Canis lupus familiaris: one gene and its partners. The protein of the gene in region 5 purifies or fractionates together with the protein of the main gene of each other region. This does not show direct contact. Links are inferred from orthologs where the notes say so. Each region holds a gene or a part of one and is shown on either strand. Other genes may lie near its edges.

The links.
Region 1: the proteins of MINK1 (region 5) and STRN3 purify together in Homo sapiens (affinity purification with mass spectrometry; 3 studies listed by BioGRID and IntAct, with this or other methods). This does not show direct contact. The link is inferred for Canis lupus familiaris from reciprocal best matches to the Homo sapiens genes MINK1 and STRN3.
Region 2: the proteins of MINK1 (region 5) and STRN purify together in Homo sapiens (affinity purification with mass spectrometry; 3 studies listed by BioGRID and IntAct, with this or other methods). This does not show direct contact. The link is inferred for Canis lupus familiaris from reciprocal best matches to the Homo sapiens genes MINK1 and STRN.
Region 3: the proteins of MINK1 (region 5) and STRIP1 purify together in Homo sapiens (affinity purification with mass spectrometry; 3 studies listed by BioGRID and IntAct, with this or other methods). This does not show direct contact. The link is inferred for Canis lupus familiaris from reciprocal best matches to the Homo sapiens genes MINK1 and STRIP1.
Region 4: the proteins of MINK1 (region 5) and STRN4 purify together in Homo sapiens (affinity purification with mass spectrometry; 3 studies listed by BioGRID and IntAct, with this or other methods). This does not show direct contact. The link is inferred for Canis lupus familiaris from reciprocal best matches to the Homo sapiens genes MINK1 and STRN4.
Region 6: the proteins of MINK1 (region 5) and CNOT9 purify together in Homo sapiens (affinity purification with mass spectrometry; 3 studies listed by BioGRID and IntAct, with this or other methods). This does not show direct contact. The link is inferred for Canis lupus familiaris from reciprocal best matches to the Homo sapiens genes MINK1 and CNOT9.

What each region holds. Positions count from the first base shown.
Region 1 is NC_049229.1:10,486,578-10,491,967, forward strand, and holds the start of STRN3 (striatin-3), read right to left. Parts: upstream 3,352-5,390; 5' UTR 3,147-3,351; coding exon 2,865-3,146; intron 2,748-2,864; exon of another isoform or gene 2,480-2,747; intron 2,423-2,479; exon of another isoform or gene 2,280-2,422; intron 2,246-2,279; exon of another isoform or gene 2,100-2,245; intron 2,043-2,099; exon of another isoform or gene 1,889-2,042; intron 1-1,888. Other genes in the region: small nuclear ribonucleoprotein-associated protein B'-like, read right to left, coding at 3,361-3,904. UniProt on the Homo sapiens protein: Calmodulin-binding scaffolding protein which is the center of the striatin-interacting phosphatase and kinase (STRIPAK) complexes.
Region 2 is NC_049238.1:29,441,853-29,446,651, forward strand, and holds part of STRN (striatin), read right to left. Parts: intron 3,399-4,799; coding exon 3,351-3,398; intron 2,570-3,350; coding exon 2,448-2,569; intron 1-2,447. UniProt on the Homo sapiens protein: Calmodulin-binding scaffolding protein which is the center of the striatin-interacting phosphatase and kinase (STRIPAK) complexes.
Region 3 is NC_049227.1:42,377,476-42,382,274, forward strand, and holds part of STRIP1 (striatin-interacting protein 1), read right to left. Parts: coding exon 4,750-4,799; intron 4,637-4,749; coding exon 4,509-4,636; intron 3,377-4,508; coding exon 3,194-3,376; intron 2,841-3,193; coding exon 2,623-2,840; intron 1,627-2,622; coding exon 1,561-1,626; intron 1,438-1,560; coding exon 1,374-1,437; intron 290-1,373; coding exon 218-289; intron 1-217. UniProt on the Homo sapiens protein: Plays a role in the regulation of cell morphology and cytoskeletal organization. Required in the cortical actin filament dynamics and cell shape. Part of the striatin-interacting phosphatase and kinase (STRIPAK) complexes.
Region 4 is NC_049222.1:109,881,546-109,887,059, reverse strand, and holds the start of STRN4 (striatin-4), read right to left. Parts: upstream 3,598-5,514; coding exon 3,316-3,597; intron 3,263-3,315; exon of another isoform or gene 3,225-3,262; intron 1-3,224. UniProt on the Homo sapiens protein: Calmodulin-binding scaffolding protein which is the center of the striatin-interacting phosphatase and kinase (STRIPAK) complexes.
Region 5 is NC_049226.1:31,925,962-31,930,760, forward strand, and holds part of MINK1 (misshapen-like kinase 1), read right to left. Parts: intron 3,300-4,799; coding exon 3,243-3,299; intron 3,160-3,242; coding exon 3,034-3,159; intron 1,368-3,033; coding exon 1,257-1,367; intron 918-1,256; coding exon 827-917; intron 429-826; coding exon 298-428; intron 177-297; coding exon 122-176; intron 1-121. UniProt on the Homo sapiens protein: Serine/threonine kinase which acts as a negative regulator of Ras-related Rap2-mediated signal transduction to control neuronal structure and AMPA receptor trafficking.
Region 6 is NC_049258.1:25,078,545-25,083,343, reverse strand, and holds part of CNOT9 (CCR4-NOT transcription complex subunit 9), read right to left. Parts: intron 3,511-4,799; coding exon 3,401-3,510; intron 1-3,400. UniProt on the Homo sapiens protein: Component of the CCR4-NOT complex which is one of the major cellular mRNA deadenylases and is linked to various cellular processes including bulk mRNA degradation, miRNA-mediated repression, translational repression during translational initiation and general transcription regulation.

The DNA of each region.
Region 1 (5,390 bases), on a different chromosome or scaffold from region 5:
AGGCTATACACAAAATAATATTTAAGCTCTCTTATTTCTACATTATCATTCCTAAAAATAAAGTTTACAGTTAAAATCCGTTGACACTTCACTGAAACCTTAATAAATTTTTTATTTGACACATTTTTTTCTTAAGATTTTATTTTTTTAAGTAATCTCTACACCCAACACGGGGCTCAAACTTACAACCTGGAGATCAAGAGCTACATGCTCTATCAGGGGAGCCAGCCAGGTGCCCCTTGACATATACACTGTTAAATGTGCATCTCACAAGCAATCTTATTAAAGACTGAAAGTACCTAAAGCAAATTCGATATTCCAGAAACAAACCTGAAACCCTTTTAACTAAGTAACCCAATATAACATTTTAGAAAAATATGTAGAACAAAAACAAACAGAATCATGCACATTCCATTTCAAAAGAATCAGTGTGAAATAATGAAAATCCCAGGAAAAACTAAGAGTCTAGAGACACTGTAGAACTTCTTAAAAGTAAGCAAACAAAAAAAGCTTAGAAAGGCTTTATCAGAACTAGTATTACAATAGCAGATCAACTGGAAAGCAAACAAGCAAAAGGAATCTTCCTTAAAAGACTTCACTGTTACTGGCAAAGAGAACTAAAAAGTAAAGAAAGGGCTAAGGCAGACATATAGACTTCATTATAGGTTTTTTTTTTAATTTAGACACAAATAAGCTATTTCCTCAGATACTTAAATTAGTGAAGCTTATAAATGACTAATGCACTGTTAACTTACAAAGTGTTAAAATCCAAGCTTTCGGGTGCTTACAGGGCAAAATAAATGTCTCATCCTCTAGGGCAGGGGAAAAAAAAAAAAAAAAACCAATCTTTCATACAACAGTGCAGAGGTCATTAGACACTATATCCAGGGACTGGTGAGGTATTATTTAGTGAGTCTAAGCCTCAGTGCATTTTTAAATGCAATTTTTAAAAATAACCGTCTTATTATCTTCATACAGTATACTGTTTGCAACATGGTGTAGTAAAAAGTTGTTTATCAGCAAAACTCTATAAATCCCAGATATTTTAAACTAGACTACATACATACAAGTTAAAAGAAACTACAAAAAAAAAAAAAAAAAGAAAGAAAGAAAGAAAGAAAAGAAAAAAGAAACTACAGACAATTATGATACAAGCTTTTGGAAAGTTCTATTTTTAAAAGTCCTACAGTATATCAAAACACAATTCTAAAACATTGAATTGACTAACAGGTGTTAATTTATAATTAAGTTTTTTGAAGACTTGATAAAGGGATCCCTGGGTGGCGCAGCGGTTTAGCGCCTGCCTTTGGCCCAGCGCGTGATCCTGGAGACCCAGGATCGAATCCCACATCGGGCTCCCAGGGCATGGAGCCTGCTTCTCCCTCTGCCTATGTCTCTGCCATTCTCTCTCTCTCTCTCTCTGTGACTATCATAAATAAATTAAAAAATTCAGAAAAAAAAAGAATCAGATCAGATATGAAGACTTGATAAAGTGTCAAGATATATAAAAGTCCTTTTTAAAAGTTTAGCTTCACTAACTTTGTAGAATCAAAGATAACTAATTCAAAATTAAACTAAAAAAATATATATTTGTTTGAAGACACCCTAAGTTAATCCAGTCTTCCTTCCTGCAACACCGTATCTTCCTAACTATTCACCGTAGGCATATATGATATATATATATATCAGCGAACACTACTACTTACATTCTAAATATATACCAGTCTGAAGAACAGGTGCAACACTATTTGGATGCATGCTTTTTCCTTCTAAGCCTAATTTTGCCCTGGAAAGGGATTTAAAAATAAACACAAGTACCCAAGAGTTGAACAATCCTCTTAAAAGGATGTAGCCATTCTGAAATCCAAGACGTGAGCTCTTCAACTACCAACGTTCCTCCACAAGTTAGGTGAACCAGCCTAGCAAAGTTTCACCTTTAAAAGATCAAGTAAGGCTCAATTATGAAGGATTCTGGGGATATTTAACCTTGCTTCCCCTGCGCGAGTCAGTTAACGTGGGACAAGTACGTGTCACACTTCAAGGTAACACTAAATCGTTCCTCGGTTGTTTCCTAAACACGGCAGAGAGACTCTGGTTCGGCTTCACAGGGCTAAAGGAGGGGCTGGAGGCCCGGGGAAGGAAGGGTACTCCCGAAAGAAAAATTCAATTTAGAGAAGCAGTGATGATGAGTCAGTCGCTTGGGAAGAACTGACCGGGAGGGAACCTAAGTAAGGCAGCATCCCAGGTAAGAAGGTACTTAAAGTTGGCGGTAGGAAACGTCAACTTCCCAAGTCAGCAGCAGGACACTACGCTCGGTGGCAGCCCTGGAAAGAAGCGTGGCTGTCAAGGGGCAAGTGCGCACCAACTACGGGAGAGGGGCCCAAGAAACGCCAAATCGGATAGGGGGGTGAAAAAGGAAAAGGTAATGAAATGCCCATCGCAAACCCTCCCCTCGGGCTCTCCCTCGCAGAAGGCGCAGTCAGCTGCAAGCTTCGCGCCCCGTCACCCCACGCCGGACTCTCCCACTGAGAGGAGTTCTGCCCCAAGCCCCGGAGGCCCGGCAGGCCGCCTCCAGAGGAGCCCCCGCAGACGCCATACTAAAAGTCAAAATGGCTGCCCCAAGGAAGCCCGCACCGCGCAGCTAGCAAGGGCTGGGGAACAAGCTTCTGCGGGAAAGGGGGAGGGGGGCCCTCGGGAGAGCCGTCGCCAGAGCCGTAGGCAGGACTACCGCCCCCCGAGCTGCACAGGTAGGCTGCCCCCAGCCCCCCAGGCCCGGGGCTCCGACCGAGGGGAGTCCCGGCCCCACCCCCCGGCCGGGAGCCCCGCCGCCGCAGCCGTCCCGCACCCCGACCCCAGCGAGGTACCTGCAGTTCGGCCCGCTCCACCTCCCAGTGCGCCCGCTCCATCTCGAAGCGAGCCCACTCGTGCTGGATGTAGTGCAGGATCCCCGGGATAGTGTACTGCTGCGGCCGGGACAGCTCCGGGCCTGCCGCGGGACCCGCTCCCTCGGCGGCTGGAGGACCTCCGCCGCCCGCCGCTCCATTCCCCCCTGGCGAAAGGCTCATGTTCCCCCCAGGTCCTTGCTGCTGCCTTGGAGGGGCCGCCATCCCCGGGCCGCCACCGCCGCCTCCGGCGAGCTCGTCCATTGTGTGTGGGGCCCCGGCCGGGGCGCAGGGCGAGAAGCCGACGGCTGGGGGAAGGGCCGGGGAGGGTGGCCCCGCGCTGCCGGCGGGGCGGAGGCCGCCTGGGAGAGGGGCGAGGAGGGGGTCGTTGCCGTACGCTTGCCGCGGGTCAGAGCAGGGAGCTGCCGGCCGCCGCCATTACAGTCCCTCCTCCATCTGCCCGTCTCACTCACTCACTTTAGGGAAAGGGGGGGCCGCGGCGGGAGGGGGGAGGGGGCTGGGTTGGGAAGGGGAGAGACGTAGGGCCGTCGCTCCCGCGCAGCATGCCGGGTAGAGAACGCCGCTGCCGCCGCGCGCCTAGCAGCCAAATAGAGTGCGGCCTCGCCTTACGCAGGCGTACTGAGGGCTCGTGAGGGCGCTGGAGGCGGGGTGGGGCTCTGGCCCCGCCCCCAGGCGCTCCTCCGGCTTGCCCCGGTGCCTCGCTGCGGCCTCTGGGCTGGGCTGTGTTGCGGGACACCCACCCGAACTTTCGGGCGCTCCCAACCGTCAGTTTCCCTCGCTCAGTCAGCAGCCCCTTGAGCGTCGTCCCCCCCCCCCCCCCCCGGGGCCAGCCGCATGCCTGCTTCCAGGACCGTCGTAACCTGCTGGGCGCTCTGGCCGGCTGCCGCCCGCCCGGGATGCCTGGCGTTTCTTTCGCATTCCTGGCGTGTTTCAGGACGTCCCAGAGGGTCGGGCCTCCTCCTCCGCTTGTCACTCGCTCTAAGTACCCGTCATTCCTGAGGCTTTGGGGATGGACGTTCTCTTTTGGCAGATAGCCCAGCCCCCTCCGGACACGGTGACTGGTTGCGGGTCTCGGTGTCCTAGCTCCGTGCTCCCGGGCGCGGGACGCAGCTTGTTCCACTTTGCCGCCCCTCTTTCTCCTATTCTGGGGTGGGTTGGCGCGGGGGGGGGGGGGGGGAGGAGCAGGAGTGAATGTTTTCATTTTTTTCTTGGGAGAAGGAATAGTGAAAAGCTTTAGATCTTGACGATGGTACGGGGGGAGAGAGAGAAAGGTAACTTTGAAGGAGACTTGTTAGACGAACAGTTCGGTGTTTTAGAATGAAAGGGTTCACAGGTGGCATTCATGGAATCTTGTGATGAAAACAAAATAAAAGCGTCGTGAATACAATATAAAATCCTAGATGAACAGCCGCGAAGATGTTTTCCTGGGTCATTAAATGATGTTTAAATGAATGTAATATACACCTAAAAGACACATTTAATCTTTTAAGTACCATTGTGTGTGTTTTATATGCTTAGGTTGCCAGGAAACATCCTTAATGAACTACTGTGTTTCTAAAGAAAGTTAATATAGCTAATAACCACTTGGTTGAAAAATAGGACAAGAATAATGTTTAACAATGTAATAAGGAAAAAAGGTTCAATAATTACAGCTATGCGGGAAAACTGCACATAAAATTGATCGCATTATTTTTTTTCTTCTCTACTACCAGTAAAACTCTCACTGTGTAATGCACAGCACCACTCAAAGTATAATTTCAAAAAGACTAAAATAGTACATCTTACTTAATCATGTCTACTCTTACTATGTTTAGTGATGATCTGTTACCCCTGCTGCCATGTTTTGTCTATGAAATGAGTGAGGTCTTAGGTCACATATTATTAAAAACTGTTTCTCCATATTTTTAAGTACTATTTTTCCATTTTATAGTGACCAGCATAAAACCTGCTTATTCAGTCCTCTTCCTTTTTTGAGGGGCCTCATAGTATAGAAGAAGTTCCAGGGGTGCCTGAGTGGCTCAGTGGTTGAGCGTCTGCCTTTGGCTGTGGATGTGATCCTGAGGTCCTGGGATGAGTCCCACATCAGGCTCCTTGCCTGCCTCTCCCTCTGCCTATTTCTCTGCCTCTTTCTGTCTCTCATGAATAAATAAATAAAATCTTTAAAAAAGAAAAGAAAAAGTTCCAAATATGTCTCAAAGAAATGTAGGTGAGTAGATGTAATTGATCTCTGTTATGTGGCATCAAAAGAAGAACATGAGTACTTATATTTCCCACTGGTACCTCAAGCTTAAGTAAAAACTAGATTGATAATCCTTCTATTTTCCTTCCCACCCACCTTCCAAAAAAAAAAAAAAACTATTTCTCTTCTATTACCTATCTTATTAAATGGCATTACATCCAAACCTGAGGGCTGGTAGTCATTGTACTATCTTCTTTTTACTCAGCCCCTACACCCAGTCCCTTTCTCAGTACATGTTTCATTTCTAT
Region 2 (4,799 bases), on a different chromosome or scaffold from region 5:
AAGACACAGTACTATCTTTGTCTCAAAAGACTCTGTGGTAAGTACAATAATCGTGACAGACACCAGTTTCCATGGAGAGTAACTGGAGTGAGTGAGAGCTTCCTGGGGAGAATGGCACCTCAAATATATAGCCATTGGCCACTCAAAAGCTAGAGGGAACCCACTGCTGGCAAAGAAGGCAGTACCAACAAAATCATGAGGGCAGAAAGGACATGTGAGGGAATTTATCAGCATTACTGAAGCATGAAGTTTAAGGCAGGAAGTAGAAGAGATGCAAGTAACTAGATTAAGGTAGGATTTCTTTTTTTTTTTTTAAGATTTTATTTATTTATTCATGAGAGGCAGAGAGAGGCAGAGACATAGGCAGAGGGAGAAGCAGGCTTCCTGCGGGGGGCCCCATGCGGGACTCGATCCCAAGACCCTGGGATTACGCCCTGAGCCAAAGGCAGATGCTCAACCACTGAGCCACTCAGGTGCCCCTAAAGTAGAATTTCTACAACATATTAAGGTACTTGGAAATTATTCTGTAAGCAAAATGAACCACTGAAGGGTTTTCGAGGAGCAGTAGGTTTAAGTATTTAATATGGTAGCTATCACTGTAGTGCAGAAGACAGACTGGAGAGAATCAAGATGAAGGCAACAGGACTGCTTCAGTAGACTGGGAGAATGATGGTGTAGACCCAAGAGAGGACAGTGGTAAAAGAGGCAAAACAGAAAGGGTAAATTCAAGAAATATTTAGGGGGTAATATAAAAAAGACTAGGTAATTAATAAGGTGTGGATAGTAAACAGAACAAGACAAAAAGGATAACTTGTAGGTTTCTAGTTTGGGTAATTTTGGTGGTGCCACCACTAATAAAGAATATATGGGAGAAGAAACACAACACTTGTGGGGAATTTATGGACAATGAGGTGGCCACTTTGAAATGTTCTGTAGGCAGTGTGAGGCTTAAAGAAGAGATTGATGAGTCAACAGCATGCAAAACCATAGAAGTAGATTCAGTCTACCAAAAAATATGTGTACAAAGCAAAGAATGAATAGGTTCTGGGCCTTGATAAATGCCAATATCTAAGGTGGGAAAAATAAAAGTTTAGGAAGGATAGGAGACAGAAATTGTCACAGACTTAAATGTCAAAAAAGCCAATAATGGACACATTTCCAAAAGGATGGAATAATCTACAGTTTCAGATAGCCAATATATCTAGCAAAATAAAGACTGTAAAATACTTCTTGGATCAGCCAATTAGGGAGTAACTGATAATCTTATCATATTTAAGTGGTACAACCGATGATAGAATGCACAGTGATGATGCACAGGGAAAGGACATGGAATTAGTAACTCTTGATTGCATTTTCTAGTCATTACCACCAGAGACAGATGATGAAGAAAAAGCCACACACAGGAAAATGGAATCAAGAAAAGGCTTTCCTTTGCCCACAATAGTAGTTACCTGAATTTACTTATATGCTGAGGGGATAAAAAAGAAAAGAGGGCAAGGCTTACGATGAGATTGAAACAGAGCAAGAGAATCAAGTTCAGTCTCACCAGAAACAAGAGAGAATGAGGTCAAGAGCAAAAGGGGAAGAACTGGTTGGCCTGGGACAGAATGAAGACAACTGATCCTCTTGACAGAGAAATAAAGGAAGTAAGGAAAAACACAAAGGGGGTTTATCTTTCACAAAAGATATGTTAACTGCTTATTAAATAAATGTTGGGAAAATTTTTTTATTGAATTTCTTAGGTTTGGTAGTAAAATTAATCTAAAGTGAAAATGAAAATAAATATGGTTTTAGGACATATATGACACTACACTTCATTCTAGAATTTAAGAAAGAACATAAGAGGAAGCCAAAATAGTCAATTCCTAGACAGTTTTTGCAAGAGAATTAATTAATGGTAACATATAGTGATAGATTATAATGTGGATTTACGTTTCATGGTACTGTTCCCAAGACTAAAAAAGGGGGCACTTCTTACTTTTTAAGGCTTTTCAAGTATTTTGGTGTCATGGAGTTTAAACCATGACATCATTAACCTCTACACACTCCAATAATTGATCAAGAAGAGATTCCAACATTCATTTTCCTTCAGTTATTTGTCAAGAATAGGAATGAAACATGATTACAGATTAGTAATAATCTATCAAATAGTGTACAGATGCCTATAAAATGAAAAAAACAATTGTCAATCAAGCCAGCATTTCCAATCAATAAAACTTTGGAGGGGAGGGGTAGAAACTGCTTTTTCGGGAATAACATTTTTTTTTCTTTTAGCATTATATATCAAATTGATTCCTAAATGCAAGAATCCTTTTTAACAAAATAAAGACCTTATTCTCTTTTACCAATTTACTTTTAAAAATATCTCATTTTATCCTTGTATATGCTATGGAAAATGTGTAAAAAGAAAACAATTTATTCTTTCATATCTTCGGGGAAACACCTACCATAAGAGTCATAGGGATCAATGTTGGGGTTGGTGGTATTCCAGCCCTGGATCAGTCCATCAGTACCACCACTGTAACACTGCTCACCATTGCTGCTCATTACCACACAAAGCACTGGACCTCTGGGAGATAAAAATCAATTTCTATTCCCAAAAATCAATCTGATAATAGGACTTGTTAGAAATAAGAATGCTTAATTATTCATATGGCTATTTTTCTGCTTTTTACAATAAATAAAAATACTATAAAAGCATTGCTCATTTTTTTTCTTCTGCTAAACCAGAGATTGGCAAACTATAGCCTGTGGGCCAAAGGCAGGCAGTTTTTATACAGATCTCAAGCTAAGAATGGTTTTTACATTTTTTAAGGGGTAATTAAACTAAGCTAAAAACAAGAATATACAACAGAAAATATATGGCCTACAAAGCTGAAAAAGTATTTACTATCTGACCCTTTATATGAAAAACATGCCAATCTCTGTGCTAAATCAAGTGAGTTAGTGTATTTCTTAAGCTTACATGAAAATAGGAAAAGCATGCAATATTATCATTTAAAAATTCTTCATATTTTTACCTAGATTATTTTTAAGGGAAAAAAAGGTCAGGATTTTTAATATATAAACCTTATTGCATCAACATATTTTAAGCACAAGATATGTAACATTTTAAACATCGTCCAAATAAAATCTAATTTCAGCAAGGATCTCTGGTAGGAATAAAGTTGTTTTTAACATTGCATTATCTGCCAGTTTCTTTTACATTTGCCAGAAAAAAAAACAAACAAAACCAAACAAAAATGCTACTAAATACAAAAAATACGTAACATAAATACTCAAGTGAAAGAAAATAATCAGGCTGATATACAGTGATGCTGACTTAAAACAGAGAAAAAGCACATACTTACTTATGAGCCCTGAATGTATAAATAGGTTCCACATCAAGAGAAGTACTCCTAAATCAGAGAGAGAGAGGACTTTTACCACTCCAAGTTTCAGTAGTAAACAGTATTAATGAATATATGCTGCAAAATTGCCTTTAGAAATACCAACACTGTAGTAATATACCATTCTCAACCTAGGACACTTAGGAAAGTTTACCTGACACCAATCACATATTTCTGTGGCCTTAAGAAACAAAATCCTTGTTTAGTAATAATACCTGATTATAGTGCTCTTAGCATTGTCATAGTTTATTTGACTATTTGAGAGAACCACACTCAGAAAACAGCATGGGCTTTGAGAAAAATTTCTGGATTCAAATAACTGGCTAACTCTAGGCAAATTATCTATTCTTTTGAAACTTCAGATTCCTCTCTATTTAAAACAAAACAGAAAAACTGGGATAATATCAAATACAGGATTAAATGAAATTCTGTAAGTAAAACAGCCTAGGACAGAACCATGCACACAGTAGGATTTCAATAAATGGTACTTTAATTTCTTTGCATTTCCATCAATGCTAATATGACTGTCTTTGATACTTGGATAAATTGTCCCAGTCATCAGTTTATTCAGTATTCAGAACACTGAATGTATTGATACTCTACATTGCCTAATACTGGCCATGACTGTAAATTGAAACTGGATTTAAAGTCAACTATTTACCATCTCTTATATTGTATTGAAGCTTTTTATAGGCATATGCTTTCTCTCCTCAAGCATTTCCAAAATGTTAAGCTCAAGGTAAACAGACCATGTTAATGTCTGTTAATGTCACAGACCATGTGAAGGTATTATTACTAAGCTATCACCAGCAAGAAACTTGTTTCAATATTTTTCTAAGTTTTAGTCAAGAATATACGAGGCATTCACATTCTCTGATCTAATGAGATGCACACTGTAACCAGAGAAGTAGAAAGACAAAAGGCACAATTTATAACTAAGAAATAATTTTTCTCTGCTGAAGATATCTGATCCAAAAAGGATTCTCTTGGTGTCAGCAAGATCTGGTTGAGCTATCTGAAGAGGAGGGATAAATCAAGAAATCAAGTATTTTATCTAGTCTACAGATGACTCACAGTGGGAATGTCACTGATCTCTCAAATTCAGCAACAGCTATCCTCTATCAGTAATAAAACTTCCATAATCTCCTCCAGTTCACATTTATTTCTACTCTTCTAATAATAAAACTGTCTGACACTGGAGAAAGGCCCTTGTGGGCACATGCTGGGTTCTAGACCACCAGATTCAAGGACACAAGAACAGGGACTCCCTGTAAGCACCCCAGCAAGTGGGGCTAAGACTAGTTTGGTGACTGATAAAAGCGTCTATACCAACCCATGTCTGTTCATGCTTACAGAGGAACAAAGGGACCAAGCCAAGAGCTGGCAGATAAGTGACAGCAACAATGCTGC
Region 3 (4,799 bases), on a different chromosome or scaffold from region 5:
GACCACCTACCAAGTCAGGGAGCTGGGAGTCAGAGGCAGGTGATGGGCTCAGAGTCTGTGCTCTTGACCCTCATACTAATAACCCGCCACCCCTGCAATGGGAGAGAGACTGGGAGCTTCGAGGGCAGGGCCTGGGGCAGCTCTGTGGTCTGGGCCCAGCCCAGTGCCTGGGAACAGCAGGGGAGTGGGTGGCGACTGGAGAAGGCCTCAGACTCACCCCTGAGAGAGGAGAGCGAAGGTACTCCTCCTCCATCTGCGCCTGGACCTCTGCAATCGATGTGTACTTGTGCTGGAGAGAGAGCGGGGGAAACACCCCTCATTCGCTGGCCAAAGCCGCACACCCTGGCAAAGACCCCATGCGGTTTTCTTCAAACACAATCTTCTCAAAGAGAGCTAACATCACCACAAAAATCCCTAACTCAAATCCTGAAATATTTTTCTAAGTGGACACATATTTCTTAAACCCAGTCTAAAAAGCACACAATAGATTAGGAAAAAACAAAGGAAAGAAGGGACTTCCAGATAACTAAAGAGATACGAGAAAACCACTAAAGGGAGAGTCAATGACTCAGAACCAAGTCCTCAAATAGCCTAATGGCACAGGGCCTGCTTAGCCCATTTGTACAAATCTCAAAAACGTATTTCAAAAACATATCATCAACATTTACACTCTTGACATGTTGTTAGGGGAGATACCTCTTCCCCACTTGATGTTTCCTCCCATGTGGAGGGATACGTGTGTGTAAAAAAAACTCCTGATCTCCCCTGCCCCTTTCCATACACTCACTCCTCTCCCTTCGCCGACTGGCAAGTATCAGGGAAGGAACAGGATTTTCTGAGCCCAACTTCCTTCTTTGAATTTCTCTTTAGAAAAAAGAAAAGCCTATGTTCTCTTCTGCTCCTCGATCAGGCTTAGCAGGGTTCCAATACCGCCTGGCCGTGGGTAGGTGAGTCCACCAACTCTGGAAGTAAAGCATTAGGGTGCATGTCGCTGCTGTGCCCTTTTGCCTCATTCTCCAGTCGCTCTATCAGCAAGAAAGCTGGTGTTTCAATCTCCATCTATCTACTCCTCTATCTCAATTGCCTTAGAGCTCGGGCTAGGAAAAGGGAGGGCTATTTATCAGGCCCCTTAAAACTCTAATTATCAAGTACTATCTTTAATAAACTCCCAGTTAAGTCTCCAACAAAAAGTCAGCTTAAATAAGTAAAACTTACAAAGAGCTGTTTTAAAGGGTATCACCACGGTCCACCCATGACTCCGCCCTAGGTTCCTTTGGGCAGACAATAGTCTTAAAAGGTTTCTCCCAAAAGGCTGCTCTCACTTTACTCACTCGGGACCAAAGTAGGTCAAAAGCTCATTCAATGCCACCTACCTGTTTCAGAGTCTTGATGCTCTCATGGATTGGCCTGGGCAGCCCCACCACTGTGTTGGTGTCACTGGTGAATAAAGAAAGCCCTGTTTTAAGCCCAGACATGAATTCGCCTCGATCCCCAAACACCAAAGGCCAGGAGAGTGAACTCCCAGTACCTTTCTTCAAAAGGAACTCAGATCACACTCACCTGCCTAAAGTGTAACCTATAAACTTGCTACGGCTGGACTCGAGGAACATCTCAATGTCTTTCTCTCTGCCAAAGAGAAAGAACCAGGTTTTTATTAAATGTTATTTCAAGGTGTCATGGTCAATAAAACACAGAATGCCCAAAAATGGTGAAGCCAGAAAAAAAGGTCTCCCACCATTGTTTTTCTTTTTAGGAAAAAAGAAAGAAGGAAGGAAGGAAAGGAGGAAAGGAAGAAAGAACTAAAATCCTTAGACTTTTTTTTTTAATGTCCTTTATAACATTGTTGGATCAATAACCTGAAAATATGTTACAGGTAATTAGTTTATCTGTAAAATTAAGGTACTACATCGAACTGAAAAGCACACTTTATTCAGCTAACAAGTTTGTCAAAAGAATTTCTCAAATATTTAAAGTTATTACAATTAGACCTCTCAGCTACTGATATTTTCACATGTGTCCTGGGTCCCTGTCTTAAACAATTGGCATGCACATCTTGCAGTTTTCTGATGACTAGTTTTGTATTGCCATCACAGATCACTGAAAACTGGGGTTTCAGATCAAGAAACTGACTTCTGTATTCTTTTGCACGTCCATCTATTTCTTAAGCTGGTGCCTTTTCAAACAGATACCACCTCCATTTACTTATGCAGGTACCTTCCCACCCACTGATTCATGCACACATATTTCAAACACCTTAAGTATGATCCTAAAACTCTTTTTTAATCTGTTAAAAACCACATACAATCCCAGGGTGAGAGGAGATGAATTCAGTTAAATGTCCTGGTTTTCATTTTTCCCTATTCTCCCTTTATTAGTATGGCTAACCAAGTGCTAACTCATATTACCAACTCAAGAGCCATACATGGGTCTCTCTGTGCAAGGCCAGTGCCCCGAGACCTCTGGGCCAACATGTGGTACTGTATAAGACAGCTTCATCCCAGAGCCACGGTTGGCCTGGCCCTACAGAGGACTTCCCATGGTGACTCAGGCCAGATGCCAGGCCTGGGGGTGGGAGATCTCTGGTTTCAGAAGCCAGGAGTGTGCCAGATGTCTGGGCCTCACCTGACCTTGGGAGCCCATGGAAGCCCCTTTGGGCAGGTGAGCCTGTCAGTCTGTGGGTGCTGCAGTGGGGGAGGCATCACTTCATCCCGTTCAAGGGGGAATGTCTCCCCCTCCAGACTGTTGTCATCATCATTCTCCTCTTCCTCTTCTCGAGAGTCATCAGCCTTGTAGGGATCCCGCTCGTTGAAGGCGTCCAAGTTGTCCTGTTTTATCAGCGCCTGAAAACAGAGGGACAAACCAAGCAACCATTAAGGGCAAGGAGGCTAGAGAGGCTCTATCACAGAAGGTAGTAGGCAGAGCCAAGGGCAGTGGAAAAGCCTGAGAGGAAGCCAAAGCTGAGCCAAAACAACAAAGGCCTTCTTGCCCCAGAGCCTCAAAAAAAGCCATGTGTGAGTACCTATAATAAACTGGGCCCTGGGCTAGAGACACAGAATCCCTGGCCCAGAGGCCTTCATTTGGACCAGCTGGTCAGAGATGATTTCTAACAGCCCTTTTCACACAGGGATCATGCTGCTACATGTCATGCACCTTGAGACTCTCAGGAGTCACAGGGGACATCGATTACCCTCACCTTGTGCTCCCGACGGCCCCGCTTTTGCTGCTGCTCAATCAAGTCTGAGGCAGACGCCGGCGGAGAGGCAGCCCTCATGTTACGGATCACCTTGATGCTGTCCTCAGGCAACGGAGGGAGGCCCAGGATGGTCCGCTTCTCAGCCTTCATGCTCTGCAGCTCCTCAAAGCCACCCAGTGTGCACTGCATCGTGGACAAGGGGCAGGGCTGGGCTGAATGCATCCATGAGTGGGTCCCTGGGCCCTGTGTTAGGCTCAAAAGCACATGTGATACCACGACCCACATCAATCTCTGAATAAGGAACTCACACGAGAATTCAGCAATGCCAAGGTGGGAGCAGAGAAAACGGACCAAGGGAAGGAGACATGGAGGCTAACTGAGCTAGTGGACATGTTTAGCTCCATATGTACGATATACTCTACATGTCAAAAAGGCAGACTGCAAAGCCTACCCTATCGGGTTCGTAGAAAAGTCCGTGAAACTCACATACTTCAAAAACTGTACATGCCGGTCTTTCAAAATCAAATTGGGGATACAGTTAGATACTACAAAAAAAAAGGAAAAAAAAAAAAAAAAAAAAAAAAGCTTCCTCTCATCATGCCCCTAGAAGCCAAAACCCCAGTGGAATTCAGCTTTTGCCTCTGGCTTCAGTGAGGCTTTGTGAGGAACCAAAGGGATGTATGACCAAAACAAAAGGTGCACATCACTCTAAAGATTAAGAGGCCCTTAACTCACTGAGCCTGGCTCTGCAGAGTTTGCCTGCTCTGGAAGGAGGAAGGTGAGCCCCAGGGGGAGGAGGAGTCCCAACTGCAACGCTGCTCTCTGCTGAAATCACTCCTCCAGGTGGGAAGGGCGCTGGGCTTGGCTGCTGACAATGGCCCCAAGCCAAGGGTGCTGGCCAGTCCTTCCCCAGCCAGAAATGGGCTCCATACCACACCCTGAGGAAGATGGCACTAGCACAAGGCTCGCTCTTGCTTCCTTCAAGTGACCTCTGACTGAGGGGACCCGATTACACCAGCTCTAATTCTGCCTCCAATCACTTTATATGCTCCAGGTTCAGAAGCAGCCTGGTTGGAAAGAAGGCATTTTAGGGCTAGAGAAGCAGCTTCCAGGAGTCAGGGAGCCCACAATCTATTCCGACCCAAGGGCCAAGTCCTCTTTGACCATAGTGAGACAAAAGTGTCAAAGCAGTTAGTTATATATTAATTCACATATAGTTTTTCACATAATTCAACATTTAAAAAGATATACAATGAAAAGTCTCCCTCCTGCCCCGATCCCTAGGAGCTGAGTTCCCCTTCAAGGCAATGCTCACCAACACTGTCTTCCAGAGCAGCAAGAGAACTTTCTTCATGGGGAAGTGAGGGGCATGGCCGCTGCAAAATTTGGTCACCATCCCAAACAGCATGATGGCAAATGGTTCATTGTTGTACAGGGGGGAACCTAGAGGGAACACTAAGGGATCAGGCCCACCAGCAGGAACAGGACCCTCCCAAAGGCCAGAAGCCTCTGCTTCCAGGCAGGGCCTCAGCACCCCAGGATCTCTAGGGGCCTACCCAGCTCAGCCCTGAAGGTCTGTCGTATGGTCCTCCACTCAGCCTTATCG
Region 4 (5,514 bases), on a different chromosome or scaffold from region 5:
CAAAAGTCCTGCTGTTAGACGGCATCTATACCACCTCCCTGCTCCGATCTCTGGGTACCTCTTGGCAGAACCTCACAAGAAGCTGCCTTTTCTACCATCCCCCCGACACACACACTCACTGGGAGCATTGACTGCACAGCTGGTCCTGTGCCAAGAAGAGCTATACTCAGCTATTTGGAGAAAAGGTATTCAGGGTTCCTCACAAAAGTCTGACACAGACCCGGCCTTCAAGGGTCTCACAAGAGAAGTCACACCTCTGTAAGTATTAAGTGTTCGGGCAAAGGTGTGTAAAAAGAGGTGCCGCTGATGGGAGTGTGTGGAACTGTGGGGCAACGTGGCAGAACCAATCACCATTTTATAACATAGCTTTCTACCATTCCACCCACCTATTCTGCTTTATACCCACATGGGAATATAAAGATATTCACTGCAGCCATTTCTGATGGGGGAAAAGCTGGAAAGAAGCTGAAAGCCGATCAGCAAGGGTCAACTAAAAGAGCTATGGTACAAACAGCAGGTGAAACATAGTGATCAAGAACAGTAAGAAAGCTCTCTGTGCTGATAGGAAAGGAATACCAAGACATGAGAAACAAGTATGTGACACGAGAAACAAGTATGTCAAAAAGTCACAAAATGATATGTATGTGACCTCATATTTTACACATAGAGCTGAACTACTTTTCTAGCAGTAACAGTTACAGAGAAGAGCAGGAAGGTGGGGGGGCTGGGGGGCTGATCTGTTAAGCATCTGCCTTCAGCTCAAATCATGATCCCAGGCTGGGATCTCCAGCCTCCCCCCTCCCCCCACCTATGCTCTCCGTCAAACAAATAAATAAAATCTTAGGGGAAAAAAAGGGCAGGAAAGGGACAAAGTGAGAGAGAGAGCTTTCTCTTTTCATACACACATATATATGTACATATGCACATACTTCTGAGACCTTTGCATTTCCACTAATGGGACAGAACAAAAGGAAAACAAAAGTATAAAACACGTGATGTGGCAGCCTAGACATGGGACAGCCTAACTGGGTGCTATCTACAAGTTCCTCTCACACTCCAAGAAGGGCCGCTGGATAAACATACAACTTTTCTTTAAAAAAAAAAAAAAAAAAAAAAAAAAGATTTTATTTATTTACTCACAGATGCAGAGAGAGAGAGAGGCAGAAGGAGAAGCAGGCTCCATGCAGGGAGCCCAAGGCAGGACTTGATCCTGGGTCTCCAGGATGACACCCTGGGCCAAAGGCAGGCGCCAAATCACTGAGCCACCTGGGCTGCCCCACAGCTTTTCTTTCATTAGTCTCAAACATGAGAAGGTGGTACGGTGGGTGCTGCAGTGTACACTGGCATAAAGTCCCAGAGACCAAGATTCAATCCCAGGTCTAGTTATGACTGTTGTCTAGGATGACTCTCAAGAGGCCACTGGGCTTCTGTGGAACATTTTCCTCATCTGTATTGGGCAGCAGAGAGGTATGGAGAATGGGCTAGCAGCCCTGCCACCCACGGGCTGTGATCGTAGAGCAATCACAGACTGTCTCTCTCTCTCAGAGCCTCCCTTTCTCTTCTGATTCTTTTCTCAAAAAGCAAGGGTGGGGGAATAGGATCACTCACCATCCTAGAAGGATTAAATGATACCATGTATCTAAAGTGCTTCATACAGTTCCTGGCACTGCATATGTGCTCAATAAACAGCTGCTGTCATTACTGCTGAGTGAGGACTATGATACCTGCCCGGTCTCCATAATGAGGTACTGAGATCTAGCTGGATGTATGCTGGGAAAGAGCTCTGGGAACAGAGTTGAACACAAAAGTAAGGGGTACTTACATAAGGATTCCTCTCCTACCTCAATGCTAAGCCTCAGCTATCACACAGCTAAGATCCCTGGTGGGGGAGGGAGGGGGAGAATTATGGAATGTCTCTTCATTCATCCTCTGGACAAAATTTTTAAGTTATTTATTTGGTGCCCCCATATCAACTAGACAGGAAGCTGTGAACCAGAAGGAGAAAACTGAGTTGCTAGAAGTTGATACCGGTTTCTGCTAATTATACCCCAGCCCAGGAACCCTCAGAGTCCTCAGGGCCCATTCTTGGATCCCTTTAAATCCTCACAACTCTGATGCCCCATCCTCCCGAAACTCTGCAAGCAGACCCATTCTGCAAGCAGACCCACACTTCTCAAGGTCGTGAAATCCAGCCCAACTCCTCAGCCTCTAATAAACTTCATCTCAGGGCACACTCCTCTCCCAAGCTACTCCACAAACCATGGGAACCTTCTGCAGACACATCCTCTCTCAGAGTCCTGAGATGCTTCTTCAACACTGCCTGCCTGCTCTGCAAAATGCTGCCCTGCCATCCTCCAGGTATCCCCCACTGTGAGTCCTGTTCTCCAGCCCGGGGCCCCTTATCTCCACGTTGGCCAGCACCGCACTCCAGTCCAGAGTTCTCCACCAGGCATCCTACACACAGCTCCATCTCAAGGCCTTCCCCCCCACCCCGCACTCCTCCACACCCCTCAGACTGGAGTTTCAGCTCTGCAGCCCTTCCATACAGGCTCCTGGAGCAAGTCCTGGCCCTATCTACGCTTCCTCGCCCGGTACCCCTCCCGCCTGCACTCCATAGCCACACATGCCAGGGCTCCCCAAAGTTTCCTCCTTCCTTAGAGGGGAGGACACACATCTTCCTGCCGGGACCCCTCGAGGCCCTTCTCTCATCCCAAGTGCTCATACAGCCATCTTCCAGTTCCCCCCAACCCCGGACAAGTGCTCCTAAACGCACCCCGTCCCAGGCTCCCTGACTTCCTCTCCCCACTCGACTCACTGTCGCCCTCGGCGGCTCCCAAGTCCCCCCGACGCCCCCTTTCTCTCACCCAAAGCCCATCAGGTTCCACCTCTAACCCCTCACCTGCTCGGGGACGGGGTGGGAGCCCCGCGGCACCTTTCGGGCTTTTGCTCGCTCCCAACAAGGCCCCCCGAGTCCTCCCACCACCCTCCGCTGAGTCCTGGGCTCCTCTCCAGGGAGCGTCTGCCGGTCCGCTCACTCCCACTCCCGCTCAGCCGGCTCGGGTCCCCTGCGCCCCTCCTCTCGGCCGGTCCCGGTCGGATCCTCCCGCCTGTGGGGCCCCGCTCCCGCCTCGAGCCGCCGGGCGCCCTCAGGACCCCCCTCGGACGGCCCCTCACTCAGTCTCCGGGCCGGTCGCGGTCCCCTCCCGCCCCCCCGGCCGTCCCGGCGGCCATTGCTCCAAGATGGCGGCGGCGGCGGCGGCGGGTGAGGCCGGGCCGGGCCGGGCGGGGGGTCGGGGGTCCCGGGGCGGCGCTCACCTGCAGCTCGGCGCGCTCGGCCTCCCAGCGGGCCTTCTCCGCTTCGAAGCGCGCCCACTCGTGCTGTATAAAGTGCAGGATGCCGGGCAGGCTCAGGGGCTCGGGGCCCGCCGTAGGTCCGGGGCTGCCTCCGCCGCCGCCTCCCTTACCAGCCGGGCCGGGCCCCGGGGCAGGGGCAGAGGCCGGGGCCGCCCCGGTCGGGCCGGGGCCCGCGCCAGAGCCGAGCGGGCGGCAGGAGGAGGCGGCGGCGGCGACCGCGGCGGCCGCTCGCTCCTCCATCATGGAGGCCCCGGGGCCGGCCCGCGCGCCCGCTGTGCCTCGCGCGCCTGCGCGGCCGTACCACCCCCCCCCCCCCGCCCGCGCGCGCGCTCGGCGGGGGCCGGTCGGGGGGGCGGTGATGGGAACGTGGCCGGGCACGCGCCTCGCCCACCCGGGTCGACCCCGAAGCGCGCGCGCGGGGGCGGGGGGAAGGGGCGGGGCGGAGGCGCGGGCCGCGAGGAGGGCTAACGAGACCCAGGCCCAGAGCGAGGGTCGCGCCGGGGGGAGAGCAGGACTTTGGGAAGAGCCGCTTTCCGCCCCCTCTCCTCCGGCTTCGTTCCAACCCCCTCCAGACCCAAATGTCACTCTCCTTGCCACTGTCCCCCTGAAAGAAAGGACGACCACCAGGGGTGGTTTCAGCAATGGCCCCATCCTCTCTGGTTCCTGGCTCAGGTCGGTAGTCATGGTAACCCTCCCCCTTTGTGGCAATGGAGCGCCAAACCTCTCCCGTCCCTGCACCAGGAGGAGGTTGCTAAGGTAACCTAAGTCCCTGGTGGTCCTTCCCCCCTACCGGCTCTTTGGTTACTATGGCAACCTCACCTAGCGCTCAGGTAGAGAGGACCCTAGCCCCAGGGACGCTGACTTGCTGAGAGAACACCTCTTTCCCAACCCCTCCCCCTAGCCACCCAGCTGGCATTACCATGGTAACCATCCCCCTCCTTCTCATCGTGAGAGCCAGGACCAAACCAACCAGGTGTTTTTATTTAGAGGAGTAGATGCTCTGCTGAGGAGTGGTTGCTATGGTTACAGGGCCTGGACCAGGAGGTGGAAATGGGGAAAAGCTAACCCCTAGTTACTATGGTAACATGGGCAGTCCTCCCCTTCCAGAGACCCTAAGAGCAAAGCTCACCAAGGTATGGGACCTTTTAGGATTGTGTCTCAGGATGGAGTATGTCTAGGGAAGGGGTTGTGGTTGTCATGGTAACAGCTTTGGTTACTTCTAGCCCCACCTTTCTGGACACATTCATAAGAAGGGGATGGTTATAGGTCGTTATGATAACTGACATCCTTCCCACCCATTCCCTAGACACTCCAGATGGTAGGTGAGCTTATGGAACAAGAGAAAAGATTCTCTGATCTTCTCATTGCCACTTTTGTAGGTAAGGTGAAATCATACTCTCCTGTGCAAAATTGGCTGATTTGGGGTTTTCTGGTTCTTGTTCCCTCAGCAATGCAGCTGAGCTGGGCTGGAACCACCCACCCGGAGCTCCCACAGCAGCCTCAGAGGTAAGAAGTTCCTCAGTGTCACCAGCACTCGTGTAGAAACTGCCCTCCCCACGTCTCTCATTTTCTCTGCCTGTCGTGTTCCCATGCCACAGATGGAGCAGCCAAGGCTCAGTCTAGAGCAGCACTCGGGCCAGGTGAACCTAGGCCTCAAGTGAATCTGGATCCTTTTATATTGTTTTGTGGAGAACAGAGACAAAGTCTCAGCTTAACTGTCCTCTCCTCCCCGGACCACCTTTTCTCTCTCACACCCCTCTCTGGTTTCCTGACCTATCTGTAAGGTGTGTGTTTGTGGTTTTTGTCTCCCTCTCTGTGGAGGGCCTGCCCAATGACTGCCTCGCTCTCTCCCTGTCCCCAGAACACAGGGTCTGGCCCAGAGGGTACTTAGGAAATATCTGTCTGTTGGTTGAGTTGATGAAAAGCACCTATCGGGTTAGGGCTGCAGAATACTCACTGAAGGTAGACAGTGAGCTGGGCTGTCTGAGTGGACCCAAGAAAGACAGCAGAGTTTATTGGTTGAAAACATGACTGGGGGCCAGCTTTGTGGGTCAAATCCTGAGTCCACCGTTTCCCAGCTATGTGACTTTGAATGAGTGACTTCACTTGTCTGTGCTGGTTTTTCCCCATCTTTAAATGTGATCAGGGGTAGCCCTGGTG
Region 5 (4,799 bases):
CATGAGTCCCTCTCACAGCCACAGAGTCTGAAGGAGCCCTGCCCACTGTGACCTCCCCAGACCCATGCCCGCCCCCCACAGCCCCTCTGGGGCTCCCTCCATGCCCAGACTCCTCACTTACGGGGGGCCCCCTCTGCCATCTCGATGGCTGTGATTCCTAGAGACCAAATGTCACTCTGCAGAGGGGGGGGGGGAGGAGGGACAGGGGCATGTTCATGACAGCCCTCCTCACCCCACCCCCTGGGCTTCTTCAGGGATGCCCCCCCACCCCACCCCACCCCATCCCTCACTCCGTACCCTGTAGTCATAGGTGGCATCGGGGTTCTCATCACAGGCGATGACCTCTGGGGCCATCCAGTAGGGGGTCCCGATGAAAGTGTTCCGCCTGCCCACAGTGCGGTCCAGCTGAGCACTCACCCCAAAGTCCACTGGGAAGACACAGAGGGAGGGGTCCTAACAGAGGGCCGCATCTGTTCTATCCTGGCCCCCACCTGCATGTGCCCCAAGGGCAGCACCCAGACTTTCCCTGGCACCCCTTCCACCCCATCAGCATCCCGAAGAGCCTCACCTAATCTCCCTGTGTCTTGGGGGAAAACCAATGGGCGAGGGCCAAGGGACAGGCAGGAGGAGCCGAAACGTCCCACCTCCCCAGAGGTATCTGGGTCATGCAGGGAGCAAAGGAAACTTCTGGAGTGATTTCCAGCAAGGGGCAAGGCCTCTCAGGGCAGGAGCAAGACTCCCAGCCTCCAGGCAGGTGACATGAGCCAGCAGGGGGAATGAGGGGCCTCACACTCAGTCCTGGAGGTCAGAGGCCCCACGTGCGTACCTAGCTTGACCTCGGCGTTCTCTGTCAGCAGCACGTTCTGCCCTTTGATGTCTCGATGGATCACCTTGTGGGCATGGAGATGGGCCAGACCCTGGGGCAGGAGGGCACGGGAGTGTGTGGACGTGAGCCGCGAAGAGGGGCCGACCAGGCTGGGCCGAAGAGGCGGCCCCTCCCCATCCAGGAGCCCAGGCACAGGCTGCATCCAAGGGGACTGTCCTGAGAGCAGCAGTCCCTGGAGGTCTCCTTGTGCCGGCAGGGCAGCTGTGAGGCAGCGGAGGCGCCATGATGGTTCTCCAGAGCTGGGACTCCGTGTCTACCCTACCCGCCCAGCGCCGCTGATGCCTGCGAAGACGACACGGCTGCGGCCTCCCTCCGCGGCCTCCCTCCCGCAGGCAGGCCTGGCCTGGAGCAGGGGGAAGTGGGCGCTCACCCGGAGAATCTCCCTGCAAATGTAGGCGATACAGTCCTCCTTCAGGGCATTCCCCTTTGTGTTCTTCACTAGGTCTGTCACGGAGCCAGCCCCACAGAACTCCATCACCAGCTACGGCACCAGGGAAAGAAAGGGGAGCATCCATCAGGCAGGGCCTTCCGCCCCTGCCAGCCACCCCACCCCCCCAGAGGAGGGCACAAATGGTGTGCAGACCAGGGGACACTCCTTGTGGAAGCCAAGGAGCTCCCTGAGCCAGGGAGAGGAGGCCATGCAGCGGCAACAGGGCAGGCAGGGCCGACGGATCCCAAGAAGGCGCCCTGGGAACCCTGGAAACTGTAGCCAGAATGATGGGCATGCACGCATTTCCCTCGGGGGGGGGGACATGCTTTTGTCAGGTCCCCCTGGGCACCCTTCACCCTGAAACAAGAACTGCTGCCCTGGAGTGTGGGTTGGCAAACTTTGGCCAGGGAACTAATAAATGTGTTTTTTACATTTTTAAATGGTTGAAAAAAATCAAAATATGGATCATAAAAATTTCAAGTCTCAGAGTCCTAAACAAAGGCTTCTGGGACACAGTGACATTCCTATCTCCGTTCATGTATGCAGGGCGTATATGGCTGCTCTCATGGCTCAGCAGCCAGGGTGAGGAGCTGTGGCAGAGACTATAGGGTCTACAGACCCCCGACACCTACCACCAGGCCCTTCACAGCAAAGAAGTTGGCCAAGGCCTAGCCCAGAGGCAAGAAAGAGACTAAGAACCTGCAACTCTCCAGGCCTGCTGTAGGCAAAGCAGCGCGCCTGGCCAGGGGGCTACAGGAGGGAACCTGTGGAGATCCCAGTGGGACCTGCAGAGGCCGTGGCCACGTCAGCGCCCCGGGGATTGGGAGGCCCGTCCAGGTGTTTCACTGCACAAAAGCCACATCTGATGCAGAAAAAGGCTGGAGGGGATGTGTGTACATTCAACAAGTGATATGGAGACTGCCTGTTGTGCATCTATGCCCAGGGCTCTCCCTCCAACAAGCCCAGGAGAGGGGGTGGAGGGAAGGACAGGTGCCCAGTCAAGCAGCTAGCCTCTGGTCCCCGTGATCGCCCACTCACACACAGCTGGCAGGTAGACCCCAGTGGAGTGTTGCCCCCCTTGCTTTGGGTATAGTGTGTTTGAATGCCTTGGAAGCAGGGTACACAGAAGGCACTCAGTAAGTACCTGTCTGGCAACTGGTAGGAGGGAAGACCTAGAATGAGCCCCAAGCCCACCACCACGGCCACCACGCACCCTAAGCTCTCTTCCTGGGGGCTGGGGGCTGGGCCGTGTAGCAGAAGGGGCGAGGCTGGGAACGAGCCCAGGCCTGGGAGGGCAAGGTCTCTCAGGAATGTTCTGGGCCAGGAGAGAATCTGGTGGAGGCCCAAAGGAGCCACAGCGAGTTTGGGTTAGACAGATTATCTGGAAGGGTGTGCACTCCACCAGGAGCCTCCGAGCCCTGCCACACCATGCACAGGGATTTGGGGACATGGCTCCCCCGCGGTTTTGCGTGAAGGCAGGACCAACGGGCTCACTACCTTTCCCAGCACGTGCGAGGGTTATGCTGTCACTCACTGTGTGTCACGCACAGTGTAAGCTCCTGGTCAGGACAGAGGCGTAGGCAAAGCCCAGGCCACCTTGGCCACCCAAACAGAGGCCACAGCATGTGGGCACTCCACGTGAGTCACGAGGCGCTGTGCATCCAGAGGCAGGGGACTTGTGAGGGAGCCTGGACACAGGGAAGTGGGGACCACTCACCCAGAGCTGGTCGTCATTCCCGGGGGGGCTCTTCTTTATGAAGGCCCCATAGTAGGTGGCGATGTTACGGTGGTGAGAATATTTCTTCAACATGTTGATCTCCTGTTTGATCTCTTCCTCCTCATCCTGGGGACATGGGAGGAGTGAGCCCAAGAGCCCCCAGCCCTCCTCAGGGCCCTGCCCCGCCCTCTGCCCTCATTGCTCCCTACCTCCGTGACATCCATGACCTTGATGGCAGCCAGCTGCCCAGTCTTGACGTGCCGACCCTGCAAGACAGAGAGCCAGGTGTGGAGGGTCTGAGTCTACAACCAGGGACGGCTTGATTCTGAGGCAGGACACACCTTCTGGCTCTTCTCTGTCTTAGAAAGTGTCCCTGTGGCGACTGGACACTTCACTTATGGGTCAGGCACAGGGACGGGCACAGGCTTCCAAGAACAACTATAGAGCCTGGAGTCCAAGTGCTAAGCTGAATAAAGATGAAGGGTTTCTGGGATGCCTGGGTGGCTCAGTAGTTGAGCATCTGCCTTCAGCTCAGGGCGTGACCCCAGGATCCTGGGATAGAGTCCTGCATTGGGTTCCCCGCAGGAAGCCTGCTTCTCTCTCTGCCTGTATCTCTGTCTCTCATGAATAAATAAATAAAATACTAAAAAAAAAAAAAAAAAAAAAAGATGAAGGGTCTCCTCCCCTAAAACAGCTTAGGGACACACGGCAGAGTCACTTCTGTTCTGGACTTCCCACAGTTTGGAAGCTGAGAAGGAAGTAAAGGAGATCCTTCCCCACTGGAGGGAGCTGGGAGCAGCTGGAGGAGGGGCTCTGCCTCTCTGGCACCTTCTATGCCAGACAAACTGCCTCCTGCATTCCGGCCCCGGCCTGCCCCAGTCAGGAAGCCTTTCCCAGAACTGTCCCCCTCCAAGGCTTGCTTGCTTGCTTTCTTTCTTTCTTTTTTTTTTTATTATTTTTTTATTTTTTTATTTTTTATTTTTTATTTTTAATTTTTATTTATTTATGATAGTCACAGAGAGAGAGAGAGAGAGAGGCAGAGACACAGGCAGAGGGAGAAGCAGGCTCCATGCACCAGGAGCCTGACGTGGGATTTGATCCCGGGTCTCCAGGATCGCGCCCTGGGCCAAAGGCAGGCGCTAAACCACTGCGCCACCCAGGGATCCCTCTTTTTTTTTTTTTTTAATTTATGATAGTCACACAGAGAGAGAGAGAGAGGCAGAGACATAGACAGAGGGAGAAGCAGGCTCCATGCACTGGGAGCCCGACGTGGGATTCGATCCGGGGTCTCCAGGATCGCGCCCTGGGCCAAAGGCAAGCGCTAAACCGCTGCACCACCCAGGGATCCCCCTCCAAGGCTTTCTATTATCATTGGCAGGACAGAATAAAGATAGAGTTGGGATTTTAGGGACCTCTGGGAAACACAGAAGGCTGACTGGCCTGGCAATGCCCCATCCCCGGTGCTAACGGGAAGTAACTTCTAGGGTACATCCCTGGCATCCCTCATCCACCCCCTATCCTTCTGACATTCCTCCAGGAACCATCCCAGCCCTGGTCAAGGAAGTCCAGGCTTCCTGGGGGAGAGGGAAGCAGAGAAGGGGAGCAGAGATCCCAGATCATTATCCTCAGCAGTCACTTGAGACCCCAAGCCCAGAGAAACAGGAGAACAGAGCTACTATTTCCATGGCAACGACCAGGCTGGTGATGGGTGAATGGGGGAGGGGATGCCTGTCCCCCAGAGCTTACATGGGGGTCCCAGTGACCCA
Region 6 (4,799 bases), on a different chromosome or scaffold from region 5:
ATCATTCTGGATTATCTAGGAGGGCTGTAAATGTAATTTTAAGAGGGAGGTGGAGGGTGATTTGACCACATAGGAAAGGGACGTGACAGAGCACGAAGAGATTTGAACACGCGACATCGCTGGCTTTGAAGATGGAGGAGGGGAGCACGAGCCAAGGAATGTAATTCTCAAAGACGGAAAAAACAAGGAAAGAGATGCTTCCTTAGAGGCTCCAAAAGGAATGTTGCCCTACTAATACCCTGACTTTAGCTTGGTGAAACTGATTTACAATTTCTAAGTTCCAGAACTACAAGAGAATAAATCTATGTTGTTTTAAGTCACCAAGTTTGTGGAATTTGTTATGGGAGCAAGAGGAAATACACACGCAAAATATGTATAGTGCACAAAGTGCCCTAATCTTCAGTGTATCTTAATAAATTTTTACATATGTACACATTTATGAACCACAGCCAAATTAAAATATGAAAGCTTTCCAACACTCCAGGAAATTCTGTTGTGCCTTTCCTCAGTCAGTATCCTTCCTTGAGAGGGAAGCCTGGGTGGCTCAGTTGGCTAAGTGTCTGACTTCGGCTCGGGTTATCATCTCAGGGTCCTGTGACAGGGCTCCACATCAGGCTCTGTGCTGAGCGGGGACTCGGTTTCTCCATCTCCCTGTGCCTGTCCCCCTGCTCTGTGCGTTCTCCTCTCAAATATATAAAATCTTAACAAAAAACCAAACCACCCTTCCCTGAGAAGTAAACAGTATTCAGACTTATCCCCACTGACTGGTTTTGCCGCTTTTTTGACTTTCACAGAAATGGAATCATTAAATATGAATTCATAAATGTGCTGGCTTCTTTTGCTCAATATAATCCCTATGAGTATCATCTATGCTGCACATATCAGTATTCTTCCTAATTATTGTGTAGTTTATTTGTGGCTATACTACAATTTATCTTTTATGAATACTGCTGCTATAAACATTCTTATACATACATCTGTGATGTATACAAGAGCTCATTTCTCTTGGATATATACCCAAGAGTGAGACTGCTGGGTCAAACAGTAGGCTTGTGTTGATAGTGCATACTGCCAAATAGTTTCCCAAAACAGTTATACTATACACTCAATTACAGGGACTTTTTTTTAAAGAAACACCAATGTCTAGACTTTACTACCCTAGAGAATGATTCAGTAGGTCAGAGATTGGACCTGGGCATCTCTAGTTTTAAAACACTTCAGTGGGGTGCTTGGGTGGCTCAGTCAGTTGAGCATCCAACTCCTGATTTCAGCTCAGGTCATGATCTTGGGTTGGGCTCTGTGCTGGATGTGAAGCCTGCTTAAGATGCTCTCTTCCTCCCTGCTCCCACCTCCTGCACTCCCCCTTCTCAAAAAACAAAAATAAAAACCACTTCACAGGTGATCATTCCACACAGCCTTGATTGACACCCTGTGCTTTACTGAGTACCTACTATAGCAAGATGTTAGACTAAGTATTAAACATAAAAACTGAATGTGGGGACATTTGGCTCAGTGATTGAGCATCTGCCTTTGGCTCAGGTCGTGATTCTGGGGTCCTGGGATTGAGTCCCGCATCAGGCTCCCCACAGGGAGCCTTCTTCTCCCTCCATCTACAGCTCTCCCTCTCTCATGAATAAATAAAATTAAAAAAACCAAAACCAAATGAACCCCCCCCCGCCAAAACCCAAAACTGACTGTGGTAAGGTTTCGGCTTGCATGGAGCAAATAAGGACAAGTCACGAGGTATTAACCATACCAGGTAGGATATGTCATACAAGCTAATGGGAACCTATATGTGTTCAGAATGCATTAACTTTAGTAATAGGTAAGGAATGTAAACAAGGGAGAGATCATTAAGATGGCATTCCTGAAAAAGGGAGAGATGTCACAAAAGAAATGGTTTTTTTCCTATCCCATCCGTAAAAAACCAACTTGAAAAACCTATTCATAGGAAACCACTGATATAAGATGACAGAGTACAGTTGTATCCATTCTGATCCTGTCCCAGAAAGCCACTGAAATTAACAAAACGCCCTAAAATTAGGGAAGAAACAAAAGAAAAAACACACACATAGATCCCTACATCACTTACTTTTGTATGTTTAAGGAGAAAAATGAATGCAGAGGTATTAATACCTCCCAAATATATACATCCCAGACTGGGTGGAAAATATTCGGAGGTAAAATACTTGATTGCCAATCTGGGCAGCTAATTGGGGGCTCAGCGGTTTAGTGCCGCCTTCAGCCCAGGATGCGATCCTAGAGACCGGGGATCAAGTCCCACGTCAGACTCCCTGCATGGAGACTGCTTCTCCCTCTGCCTGTGTCTCTCTGCCTCTCTCTCTCTCTGTGTCTCTCATGAATAAATAAAATCTTAAAAAAAAATAAAAAACTGCCAATCTGAGCTCCTACCACCATCACTCTTTCCTCCATTATTTTTATTTTATTTTATTTTTTATTTTTATTTACTCACGAGAGATACAGAGCGAGAGAGAGAGAGGCAGAGACATAGGCAGAGGGAGAAGCAGACTCCCTGCAAGAAGCCTGATGTGGGACTCGATCTCTGGACCAGGATCACACCCTGCACCAAAGGCAGATGCTCAACCACTGAGCCACCCAGGCGTCCCTGAATTAAAAATTAATTCAATGTGACTGAGCATACTTTAGAAGTAGAGGTTGATGTTGCTAAAAATAGCAACATGGAAAAGTAGCCTTGAGAAAAATCACATGACATGAAATAAAGAAGTAGAAAGCTATTAAAGGGAAAAAAGGATAGGTTGGAAAGATACACAATGTGGCATAACTGATGTTGCTGAGAGGCCAGAACAAATTAAAAACTATAAAAATTAATGAGACACAAAGAGGATACTCTTCCAGAAAAAAATTTGATATAAGATTATTAAATGAACTTAAAAATAATAAAAAAAAAGCTTACAGACATCCACACAGAAAACGCAAGTTCACCAACAAAAGGAAAAACTTGGGCTGGCCCAAGATTTCTCTGTATACTCAATATCAAAGACATCAGTGCTATGGCAACATAGTTCTGACAAGGAGAAACGAGGTAAGAATTTTTTACCCAGTCATGGTGTCATTCATAGAAAGCAAAGTAAGCAGAAGCTCAAGTATACATATACTTGAATATGCATAAAAAAATGCTTGGAATGATACACCCATGGAGAAGTAGGTTCAGAGAAAAGGGAGAAATTTAGTTTTTAATTTTATATTCCTCTTAAGGGTCTGGGTTTTTAAAAGATCATTTTTTAATAATTTTTATCTAAAAGAGAAAATATATACATAGAAGTTTCAGAAAGTCTAAAGGGATGCAGAAAATGCTCCTAGGAGCATAAAGTAGTCCAAGAGCCAACACAATATAGAATCTAAGTTGAAAAGCACATACCGTTTTAGAAAGTTCACTTCCAGATTCCATAATGCGCAAACACAAAGGGATAATTTCTGTTGTCAATAAAAAGTTGATTACTTCTTGCTCATCTGTTTTCACTAAGGCCCCTAAAGGAAATATGGACAAACAAAATTATTTTACAGTCAGGTTTTGAATTAAAATTTGGGGCGCCTGGGTGGCTCAGTTGGTTAAGTGTCCTGCCTTTGGCTCAGGTCATGATCTCAGGGTCCTGAGATAGAGCCCCAGGTCATGCTCCTTGCTCAATGGGGAGCTTGCTTCTCCCACTCCCTCTGCCTGCCCCTCCTCCTGCTGTGTCCTCTGTCAAAAACAAACAAACAAACAAAACAACAACAAAGACCCAACAACTTTATTTTTTTAAAAAAGATTTTATTTATTTATTCATGAGAGACACAGAAAGAGAGGCAGAGACACAGGCAGAGGGAGAAGCAGGCTCCATGCAGGGAGCTTGACGCAGAACTCGATCCTGGGACTCCAGGATGACACCCTGGGCTGAAGGCGGCGCTAAACCTCTGAGCTACCTGGGCTGCCCCCACCCAACAACTTTAAAATTAACTTTGTAGTGTTCATCCAGCTAGCTGTAGAACTTAACTAACAGAGAACAAAAACTGTGGTTCATTTCAGAGAATCAGATTCATAATGATGTTAAAGAAGAAATAAAAAAACAGGAGGAGGGTAGCCCGGGTGGCTCAGCGGTTTAGCACTGCCGTCGGCCCAGGGTGTGATCCTGGAGACCTAGGATCGAGTCCCGCATCGGGCTCCTTGCATGGAGCCTGCTTCTCCCTCTGCCTGTGTCTCTGCCTCTATCTCTCTCCCTGTGTCTCTCGTGAATAAATAAAATCTTAAAAAAACAAAACAAAACAGGAAGAGAAAACAGAGGTTGACTGTCATCAGTCAGCATTTGAAAGATCAGATACCAAGTTGGGTCCATCACATAATTAGCAGCAGGTCAGCCATCTAAATCATTTTTCTATAACTCTTGGTAGACAGCCACACAATAATATCATGATCTATTCTCCATTTATTTTATGTGAGAGAGAAGAATTCTGTATCAGTATAAAAAGATATTCCCACGTAGCAAAGAAATGGTGCCAGTTCGAATCCTACTTCACAATGGACATAAACAAACACTGCTTCTTGGTTATTTAATTGTCACTTTCTCTACAGAGTGCAAATCTGGTAGGGTTTACCCAAACAAGAAGCATACACACACTTCAACTCTAATCCTAATTCCACAACTAGTTTACCTAAGTTTGATAGAGTTACCTTCCCTTTATAGGTCTGTTTATCTATAAAATAAGAGTTGATCTCACAATTCTGAGATGATGACCTCAGCTGAAATCAAGAGTTGGGTGCTTAATAGACTGAGCCCCCAGAC